Linked DNA regions of Coturnix japonica. The protein of the gene in region 1 purifies or fractionates together with the protein of each later gene. This does not show direct contact. Links are inferred from orthologs where the notes say so. Each region holds a gene or a part of one and is shown in the gene's direction. Other genes may lie near its edges.

The links. The genes of interacting proteins can lie anywhere in the genome.
Region 2: the proteins of PSMC3IP (region 1) and MND1 purify together in Homo sapiens (co-immunoprecipitation; 6 studies listed by BioGRID and IntAct, counting the BioPlex papers as one, with this or other methods). This does not show direct contact. The link is inferred for Coturnix japonica from reciprocal best matches to the Homo sapiens genes PSMC3IP and MND1.

What each region holds. Positions count from the first base shown.
Region 1 is NC_029542.1:4,582,419-4,586,750, reverse strand, and holds PSMC3IP (homologous-pairing protein 2 homolog), read left to right. Parts: upstream 1-1,497; 5' UTR 1,498-1,722; coding exon 1,723-1,759; intron 1,760-1,908; coding exon 1,909-2,012; intron 2,013-2,145; coding exon 2,146-2,235; intron 2,236-2,300; coding exon 2,301-2,412; intron 2,413-2,495; coding exon 2,496-2,641; intron 2,642-2,865; coding exon 2,866-2,919; coding exon of another isoform or gene 2,920-2,945; intron 2,946-3,163; coding exon 3,164-3,223; intron 3,224-3,318; coding exon 3,319-3,378; 3' UTR 3,379-3,818; downstream 3,819-4,332. Other genes in the region: RETREG3 (reticulophagy regulator 3), read left to right, coding at 1-21. UniProt on the Homo sapiens protein: Plays an important role in meiotic recombination. Stimulates DMC1-mediated strand exchange required for pairing homologous chromosomes during meiosis.
Region 2 is NC_029519.1:17,741,118-17,745,357, forward strand, and holds the start of MND1 (meiotic nuclear division protein 1 homolog), read left to right. Parts: upstream 1-1,399; 5' UTR 1,400-1,518; coding exon 1,519-1,521; intron 1,522-1,922; coding exon 1,923-1,988; intron 1,989-2,704; coding exon 2,705-2,762; intron 2,763-4,227; coding exon 4,228-4,240. UniProt on the Homo sapiens protein: Required for proper homologous chromosome pairing and efficient cross-over and intragenic recombination during meiosis.

The sequences.
Region 1 (4,332 bases):
GCTGGCTCACGAGGCCAATAAGCAATCACTTCCCTTCTGGTTTTCTGTTGTGTATCGTGGAGGGGAATCCTGGAAGGAAAAAGCATTGCACAGTTACCTAGGTTGTCTCTTGTGTGAGCATGAGTAATGATACAACCAGTCCCGGCTGAGAAGTCAACTGACCTGTGACTCTGTAGCTTCGCTTGGATTTTTGAAATAAACTGTGTTGGTAATTCAGAGGGAAAAGGCATCGATGTGATTGCTCCACAGTCACTCATGCCAGGATGCTGCTTCCTCCAAATTTCCTCACCTACGACAATTAGTCCAGTGTCTGCAGTTCTAGAGACCACTAAATCAGACCGACTTAGCATCACTGGGAGCAATCTTGAAGCCGATCTTCTTGGGGCTGTTATGTGATAATGGGATTGGTTTCCCTTCAAACTTAATGTCTGGGACTTAATGCTGTTCTGTCTTTAAGACAATCATTCCCTGTCCCTAAAACATGCACAGAAATCTAATTCTCTCCCAGCAATATTCAGCTGTGGGTAGAAACAAACACCTTCCTCCTGTTGTGAATGCGATGGTGTACAGCCACAAATGTTTGTGACTTTATTGGCCACTCATCTCCAGTTCAAGCTTTCTAGTGATGCTATTTTGTAAGAAACTTAATGGCAATAAGACATCTACTGTGAAGACTAGAATCCCGCAAAGAACATCCACATGTGGCAGCTGTTCTCATGTTGCTTTCTTAATGGACTAACAAATAGTAAAACCTTCCTGTGTTGTTCCAGAACACGTTCAGCATGGACGGCAGCAATACGACGTTTCCCTGACACTGCCTCTCGGGGAGATTTTCTGGAGGACAGAAGCAGACTGTCCTGTGTGGCCAGTTTTGTTCTGGGCTCCCAGGACAACCTGCTGCTTCCCAGCTTTGTACAGTCGAGAGCAGGAGCCGAATGGAGGACGGCAGCTCGACCACGAGTGACTGAAGAACTGTTTGTTGTGGTCACTGAAACCAGCAACCCACAGGGGAGAGACGTTCTTCAAGCTGGATCGCCCAAACTTTCCAGCCCTTTCTGAGTCATTGAGCTTCCCCATCGCTTTTTCTAAGCCATAGATACGGATCATTCACCTCTTCAGGGCAGCTCCCATCTGTGTGCTTTGCTTTTCCTTTGTTGTGCTCTGAGGCTGTTGGCCGCACACTGCGGGGATCGGCCTCGGGGGTGGTTTATTGCAGCCGTGACCGAGGCTTTATTTTATTCTGCCATAAAATCTTCCTTTGCACCTTTCAAGATGCAGCTCATAGTGACACAACGGCCGCGGTGGGAGCGGAGGGAGGAGCTCATGGAGCTGAGCTGGGGGACACGGGCCGTGCCGAGCTCACGGCTGGGATTAAATCCTTGGTTCATTCGGTTCGTGTTGTGGTAACTGGGTTCAATGGAGCCGCGGGGCGGAAATGGCGGCGTTGGGAACGGCCCGGGAGCAGCGGCTGTGCCCGCGGCCCGGCCCGGATCGTTCCGCCCCGTTTAAAGCCGCCCCGTATCGGGTGAGTTGACGCCGACAGCGGCTGTGGGGGAGCGCCCTGAAAGCGGGACGGCCACGGCGGCCACAAAGGGCACCGGAACTGCCCGAGGGCCGCGACCGGAAGCGGGGCGGAAGCGGGGCGGAACAGGAAGCGCCTCTCCTTAGCGGTGCGTCGCGCCGGAAGTGCGTCACAGCATCTGAGCGGGGCGCGGGAAGAAGATGAGCAAAGGGCGGGAGGGACCCGAGGGGAGCGGAGGGGAGCGGGGAACGGAACGGGACGGGACGGGACGGGACGGGACGGGACGGGACGGGACGGGACGGAACGGAACGTGAACGGGGGGGGGGGGACGGAACGGACAGGAGCCGCTCCTGGGCGGACACGGTGCGAGCGTTGCTGTCCCGCAGGGCCCGGTGCCGTCGTGCTGCGTTACCTGCGGGAGCAGAACCGGCCGTACAGCGCGCAGGATGTGCACGGGAACCTGCAGCGGGAGACCGGGATGGGCAAAGCGGTGAGCGGGAAACGGCCGGGAGACCGAACCACGGAGCGGGGCTCAGTGCGGGAATGGCGGTGTCTGTTGGGGCTGTCGGTGTCTGTCGGTGCTCCCGGTGTCGGTGCTGACGTGGCTCTGTCCCGCCGTCCAGGCCGTGCTGAAGGCGCTGGAGCAGCTGGCTCAGCAGGGCCGTGTCCGTGAGAAGCCGTACGGCAAACACAAGATTTACTTCGCCGACCAGGTGAGACCCGGCACCGGCCGCGCCCCCCGCCCCCCCCGGCCCCGCTGAGCCCCCCCCGCCCCCAGGAGCAGCTCCCGGCCGCGGGCGATGCGGAGCTTCGTGCGTTGGACGCCGACATCACCGCGCGATCCCGGGAGCTGCAGGAGCTGCTGAACAACTGCCGGCAGCTGGAGGCAGGTGAGCGCCCACACGGCACCGACCGCGGGCGGCCGTGGGCACCGCGGGGACCGGCCGAGCCGGTGATCGGCGCCGCCCTCCAGAGCTGAAGGAGCTGAACGGCACCATGACCACGACGGACATGGCCCGGGAGGTTGAAGAGCTGAGGAAGGACTGCAGCAGTTACACGGAGAAACTGGAGAGGATCAAGTCTGCCACCAACCACGTAACGCCAGAGGAAAAAGAGAAGGTGAAGAGCTGGGGGGGGTTGGGGGAGTGAGGAACGTAGGAACGTACAGCACAGTCTGCATCGAGGCTGCTCAGAGCAACTTGGAATAGCACAAGTTGTCCTTTCCTTGCAAATCTTTGTCCAGTCACTGGGCGCTACCAATCCATCTCCTGGCTTTGAGCTCACAGACACTCAATGCAGTGGCTGCTGGCTGAGTTGTTCTCACTTTGCCTTTCCTTTGACAGGTCTGCAGCGAGCACAAGCTGTACTGCAAGGAGTGGCGGAGGAGGAAGCGGATGGTAATGGTTTCCCCATTGAACGTGAGGTGGGCAGAAATGTCAGTGGCAAACCCACAGTGACAGTGGAGCGGGCACAGTCTTTTATTTGTTCTTGGGGAAACAAAACAAGCTCTTGCATCCCTGTGCAGGGGTTAATGTGGGAACAGCTGTGTTGGCTCCCTGTATGGGAGGCAGTATCCCACAGCTGTGGCAGAAAGCTCAGCATCAGTCCTGCAAATCTCATCTAACTTCTCTGTCCTGCCAGGCAACCGAGCTGCTCGATGCCATCCTGGAGGGATACCCCAAAAGCAAGAAGCAATTCTTTGTAAGTCCCCCTGCTTCTGCTTGTGTCCCAGGGCAGCTGCGCCTGCTGTGTCAGAGGGCAGCCGTCTGCTACAGGAGCACTTTGTCCTCGTGCAGGAGGAGGTTGGAATAGAAACTGATGAGGAGCACAATGTTACACTCCCAGCAGCTCTGTGAGGTGCAGGTGGATCTCATTGCTTTACAGAGAACACATGGTGGTGGATCCAATGCTGAAACTCAGTTGTTGGGTTTTAGGTTCGTTTTCTTCTGTAATTTTTTTCCAGGGCTTGTGCTTGTTCTGCACTTTTATATATTTTTGTTTAAAAGTGCTTTGCCCCTGGAAGGGAAGTTCAGAGCAATTGACTCAGCAGTGGACCCTCTCCATTTTGGTTGGGCTTCTTCACTAGGCAGTGACTGGGAGGGTGTAAGAGCACTGGGTTACAGGGATGGTGTGTTGATAAGAACAGGAAGGAAGCACCTCACGGAGGTGAAGGAACGAATTACCATTATGGCCCATATTTCTGTAAACTCCATACATGGAGGGAGCTGCTTCCCACAGTATGTACAGAGTTGTACACAACCCCACGATTCATTAAACACCATCCTTCTGTTCCAGATGTGCTCTGCTGTGGTGTCTTCTGTGTTGAGAGGGTAGCAGGGCTGGCCTTGGACGTGGTCCGTGAGCCACAGCTGCAGTGGGTGCAGCCCTTACCTGATCCCATTAAAGTCTCCAGGCACACAGCACCAGAAATAAAAGCAGAAGAGCCATTAAAACATTCAGCAAAATTTATTTAATCATTTTCCATAATAGAAAAATATGTCACTTTCACATATGAGGTCTGTAAAAATCCGCATCTTCCTCTCAAGGCAAGAGGTTGCATCTAAAGGAAATTAAGCTGTGCCCTGTACGTGTCATCAGTTGTGTGCGACACCACAGGGTCTGACTCCTACTGGGCTTCTATTGTATTATATCCAAAAGGTCACAGGGTTTGGAAAAACAATTTCATCTAAAAATCAACCCCACCAAAAAGCTTTTCTTCATTTAAGTCAAACAGAAGCAACAGCTTCAACCATCTCCAGCTGCAGCATTCAAAAATCAAGCAACCCGGAGCTGAGAAACTTAGCATTACC
Region 2 (4,240 bases), on another chromosome or scaffold:
TGGTTGATGTCTGTGAGCAACACGGCCTTAACCCTGACACTTTTTGCTTTGGCTTTATGACATGGGAATGTTCCCTAAGCTGCACAGCGTATATGGCAGTATCCCCACGTTAGAAATCTCTACCAGTTGATACGCTGCAGCTTTCCGGTTCCAAGATCCTATCTCTCCTCTTTGTTTTTTAAAAGCTTTTATACATTCCACCTTTTAAAGTCAGTTTCGTATGTTTTGTGTACATGTAAGTCTTGCACTCTCTTGAAACTTATGATGGAATACTATTCTCACTTGTTTTTGTTTCATTGTTTTTACTTTCTTTTTCAATCCCTGTGAGGCTAAATACAAACTTTACTCCTTAACATCAAGTATGAAAGATGCACATCAAAGTGTTTGTGTGTGTGTGTGTGTGCGTGTGTAGTTTTAGCTTCCTGTGTGCCACAGCATTCTTAATGCTTTAGCCGATGATAAAAAGTACTCTGTCTTGGAAATGTAGGAAAATCAGTCAAATGTGTACCTTTACCACGCACAAAAGTTTCAAATAATAAAAATAAAGCTTGTTTCCTCTGTTATTGTTGAGAATTTGTCACATGTTTCGTACTCGCTGTCCCTGAAAATATCTCCAGAATCACAGAATGACATGGGTTGGAAGGGACCTCAAGGATCATGAAGCTCCAACCCCCCTGCCTGGCCGGGCCACCAAACATACACATTTACTAGATCAGGTTGCCCAGGGCCCCATCCAACCTGGCCGTGAACACCTCAATGGATGGGGCATCCACAACATCCCTGGGCAGCCTGTTCCAGAACCTCACCACTCTCCTAGTAAAGAACTTCCCCCTAACATCCAACCTAAATCTTACCTCTATCAACATAAAACTATTTCCCCTTGTCCTGCTATTATTGGCCCTTTCAAATAGTTTATTCCCCTCCTGATTATAAGTTCCCTTCAGGTACTGAAATGCTGCAATGAGGTCACCCCACAGCCTTCTTTTCTCCAGGCTAATGCAGCACGATGGCTTTGTCACTGCTGAGCTCTCTACAGCTGAATCCTTCAAGAAATGAGTGTGAGTTCTCACTGACTGGCCAGAAATGTCTTCTGTTCCCTGTATTATTACAGCAGAGGTTCTTTGCCACGGGGCAAAATCAGACATGCAGGTAAGCAAGACGCCAAGAGTAGAGAATGCCGGAAATAGAGAATACCAGGAAACCTGTACAGTAAATGGCCAGCTTCCTCTTGGACCTTCTTGTTCTCCAGCCTTGAACTTCAGTGCAGCACTGTTTTGCTGCCAGTCCCATGGGTGTTTAACCTTTTCGCCTTCCATTGCCTTTCAAAACACTTATTTTTCATACATTCCAAAACCAGCCATTTACAAAGCACCCGGAAGCCGCTTCCCCCCGTCACCACGTGTCCTGCCGCTCGCTCCCGGTACCGCAGAGGAGCTGACACCAGGTGTCGCTGGAGCCGCGCAGGCGGCCTGTCCCCTCCGGGTGGCGCCGAAATCAAACTGGCTCCCGGAGGCCGCCATGGTAAGCAGGGCGGCGGTGGGGCCCTTCCCTGCCCCCTGTTAGCGAGGGGCTGGGGGCCGCAGGGGGGGCCGGGGACCACCGAGGGATGTGGGGACAGGCCTGGACCCGGGCCGGGGCCCGGCGGCCATTACGGCAGAATAAGTAGCGATGCTCCGCATCTGAATGTACTTTACGGCATTTCCCAGTGGCGTATCCAGCACACGGTGGGACTGGAGCTGGGTTAGGTGCGATGAAGGTCCAGGCTGGGAACTCAGGCTCTGTGTGCTGCAGTGGGAGCTGGGCTTAGCAGTAAGGCTCTGTAAGGGGACACAGCTAATTTAGAGCTAATGGGATAGGAATTTCCAGCAAACATTAATTCTGCGAGTGGTAGAATATGTTTGTTTGTTTTTCTCTTGTTCCAGTCCAAGAAAAAAGGACTGAGCTTTGAGGAGAAGAGAGCTCGAATGATGGAGATCTTTTTTGAGACAGTAAGTGTCTTGCTGAGAGTTGCCCTGCGTTTATTCTCAATGGGAAGACAGTCCCATTTACTCCTGCCTGCTGTAAAGGCACTGTGCACGTCCAGCTTCTCCTCCATGCCCTCTGTCACCTGTGTATAAATTACAGCACTGGGTTCATGCAGTGTCAGCTCAGGTGGCTGCTTAGTGGTGGTGTGAAGCTGCTCATTGTGCTCTTTCTTCTTGGAGCCACATCTTTGCATGCCAAGCCTGTTATCATGAGAGGTCATGAAGTTTCAGAGGTGGGAGAAATCCCAGCATTAAAAAGATCAGTACGGATGGAGGGAAGAAACCTGGAGATCCAAAAGCAGGGCTATGGATATACTGGTGACGTGCATAAAACACAGCATCTCACCTTTTAAAATGTTATTGTGACCCTTGAGTGTTTGAGTAAAGCAGTGTATCCAGCACGGACAACCTAACCTTGGCTCAGTGTGCCAAGGGGTTTTCACTCTAACTTTAGACAAAGTTCTGTGATGTTATAGTCAGAAGCTCTTTCCTTTGGTATCCTTTATCACTTTGCAGAATCTTCTAATTCTACTGAGGGATATGCAGCATATTTTCACAGCAAAATATAAAGAGTGTTTCCTACTTGCTTTTGTTGGCATCAGTGTAGTGTAAAAGCTGCATGGGCTGAGCGGATGCTGTTGTTTGAAGCTGAAGTGTCTTTTATGGTTTTTTTTATGCAGAAAGATGTGTTCCAGTTGAAGGATATAGAGAAGATTGCTTCAAAAGACAAAGGGATTAGTAAGTGCTTACCTTCCATGAACTCTCATTCTATGAAATCAGTGTGTGTACTCAGACAGAGAATAGAGGATACAGAGATATGTCTATAATGTCACATATATCTTAAAATGCCATGGTTCTGTTGAATTCCCCCCCTCCCCCCAGTATGGCTGGATAGCAGTAGAGGAGAAGTCTTTTCAGTGAAAGAGAAAAAAAAAATCCATTGGCTTTGGATTAGGTCCAAGGTGATTTACCTTAATGCTGTTGAGTTGCTTTGTGTGTCCTTCATTCTGTTTTCCTTTGTGTTCAGTGATAAAGGTGGGAAGAAGTGCAGTGTTTGTGTGGTTGCCACTGTCCTTGATGAGCATGTCACTGTGGCACTGTGAGAGTAAGGAATGCACATGTTTGTTGAAAGAACCACGGGCACGTTGAAAAACAATGCTTTGCCAGATTCATGTTACATCAGCAGCCAGCAGAGATGCTCAACAGCATCTTCAGAACTGTGATTGGTTTGTCAAAATACCTCTTGCATCCATTTAGTTGCAATTTGTAGGAAGAAAATGCAAAATGGTGTAAGCAAAGGAATTTCATGTTTTAAAAGATAGAGTTTCTAACACCCTTTGTACCTTTGAAGAGTCCAGATTCATCCTGCCTGTGAATGTGGAGGCATTTAGCCACACCAGTAGAGTGGTTTCTTCTGGGAAGAGAAACTTAGTCTGTGGAAGTGCCCCTATATTGGCATACAGTCTATAGCTTCCAGAGGATGGGATGTTTCTGGTCAGGTATCTCCCTTAGGCTTGTAATTGGATGTCAGACACTGAAAACTCACATCTTGAAGGTATTTAGGTTTGCTCTGCTTTTGGATGATAGTATCTAGTACTTTGCTTGTTGAACTGGTGTAATTTTTTAAATGCTGGATTGTACTGCATGTTTGGTAGACAGTGGAGAAACAATTACTGCACATAACTATCATTGCAAGTGACTTTCTGTATTGGAACTGAATATAACCTAATGTCAAATCTAACCCTCATGAGCCCATAGGCAGATGGTCTTTGTGCCCCTTCTGCTGTTTATTGCTTTGGTAAATGCTGCAAAGCAAAATGCAATTACATTCCTAATCAAGCAATTGTAGGTTAATGGTTATTACAGTTAAGATTGCAGGACAACTGTTCAAGTGCCTTCTCATGAATTTGTTATGGCATTGTGCTGTAAAATTATACATTTTATGATAGTTATGAGCAGTTTACAAGCATCCTGTAGCAGACTGCACTAAAGAGCAGCAGCCTGTATGTTGAAGCCACCGATTTCAGAGGGATTTGTGCTTTGAAGTGGAGTATCAAGCACAATGTCCTCCTGAAATCTTCCAGCTGGCTGACACTGTATTGAAATATTCAGACAGGTAGATGATGTCTTATAATATTAATAATTCTCTACGGTTCTAAGGAGGTGCTGTGCAGATCTAATCTCATACTTTTGCTTCTATTAGCTTCCATGTCAGT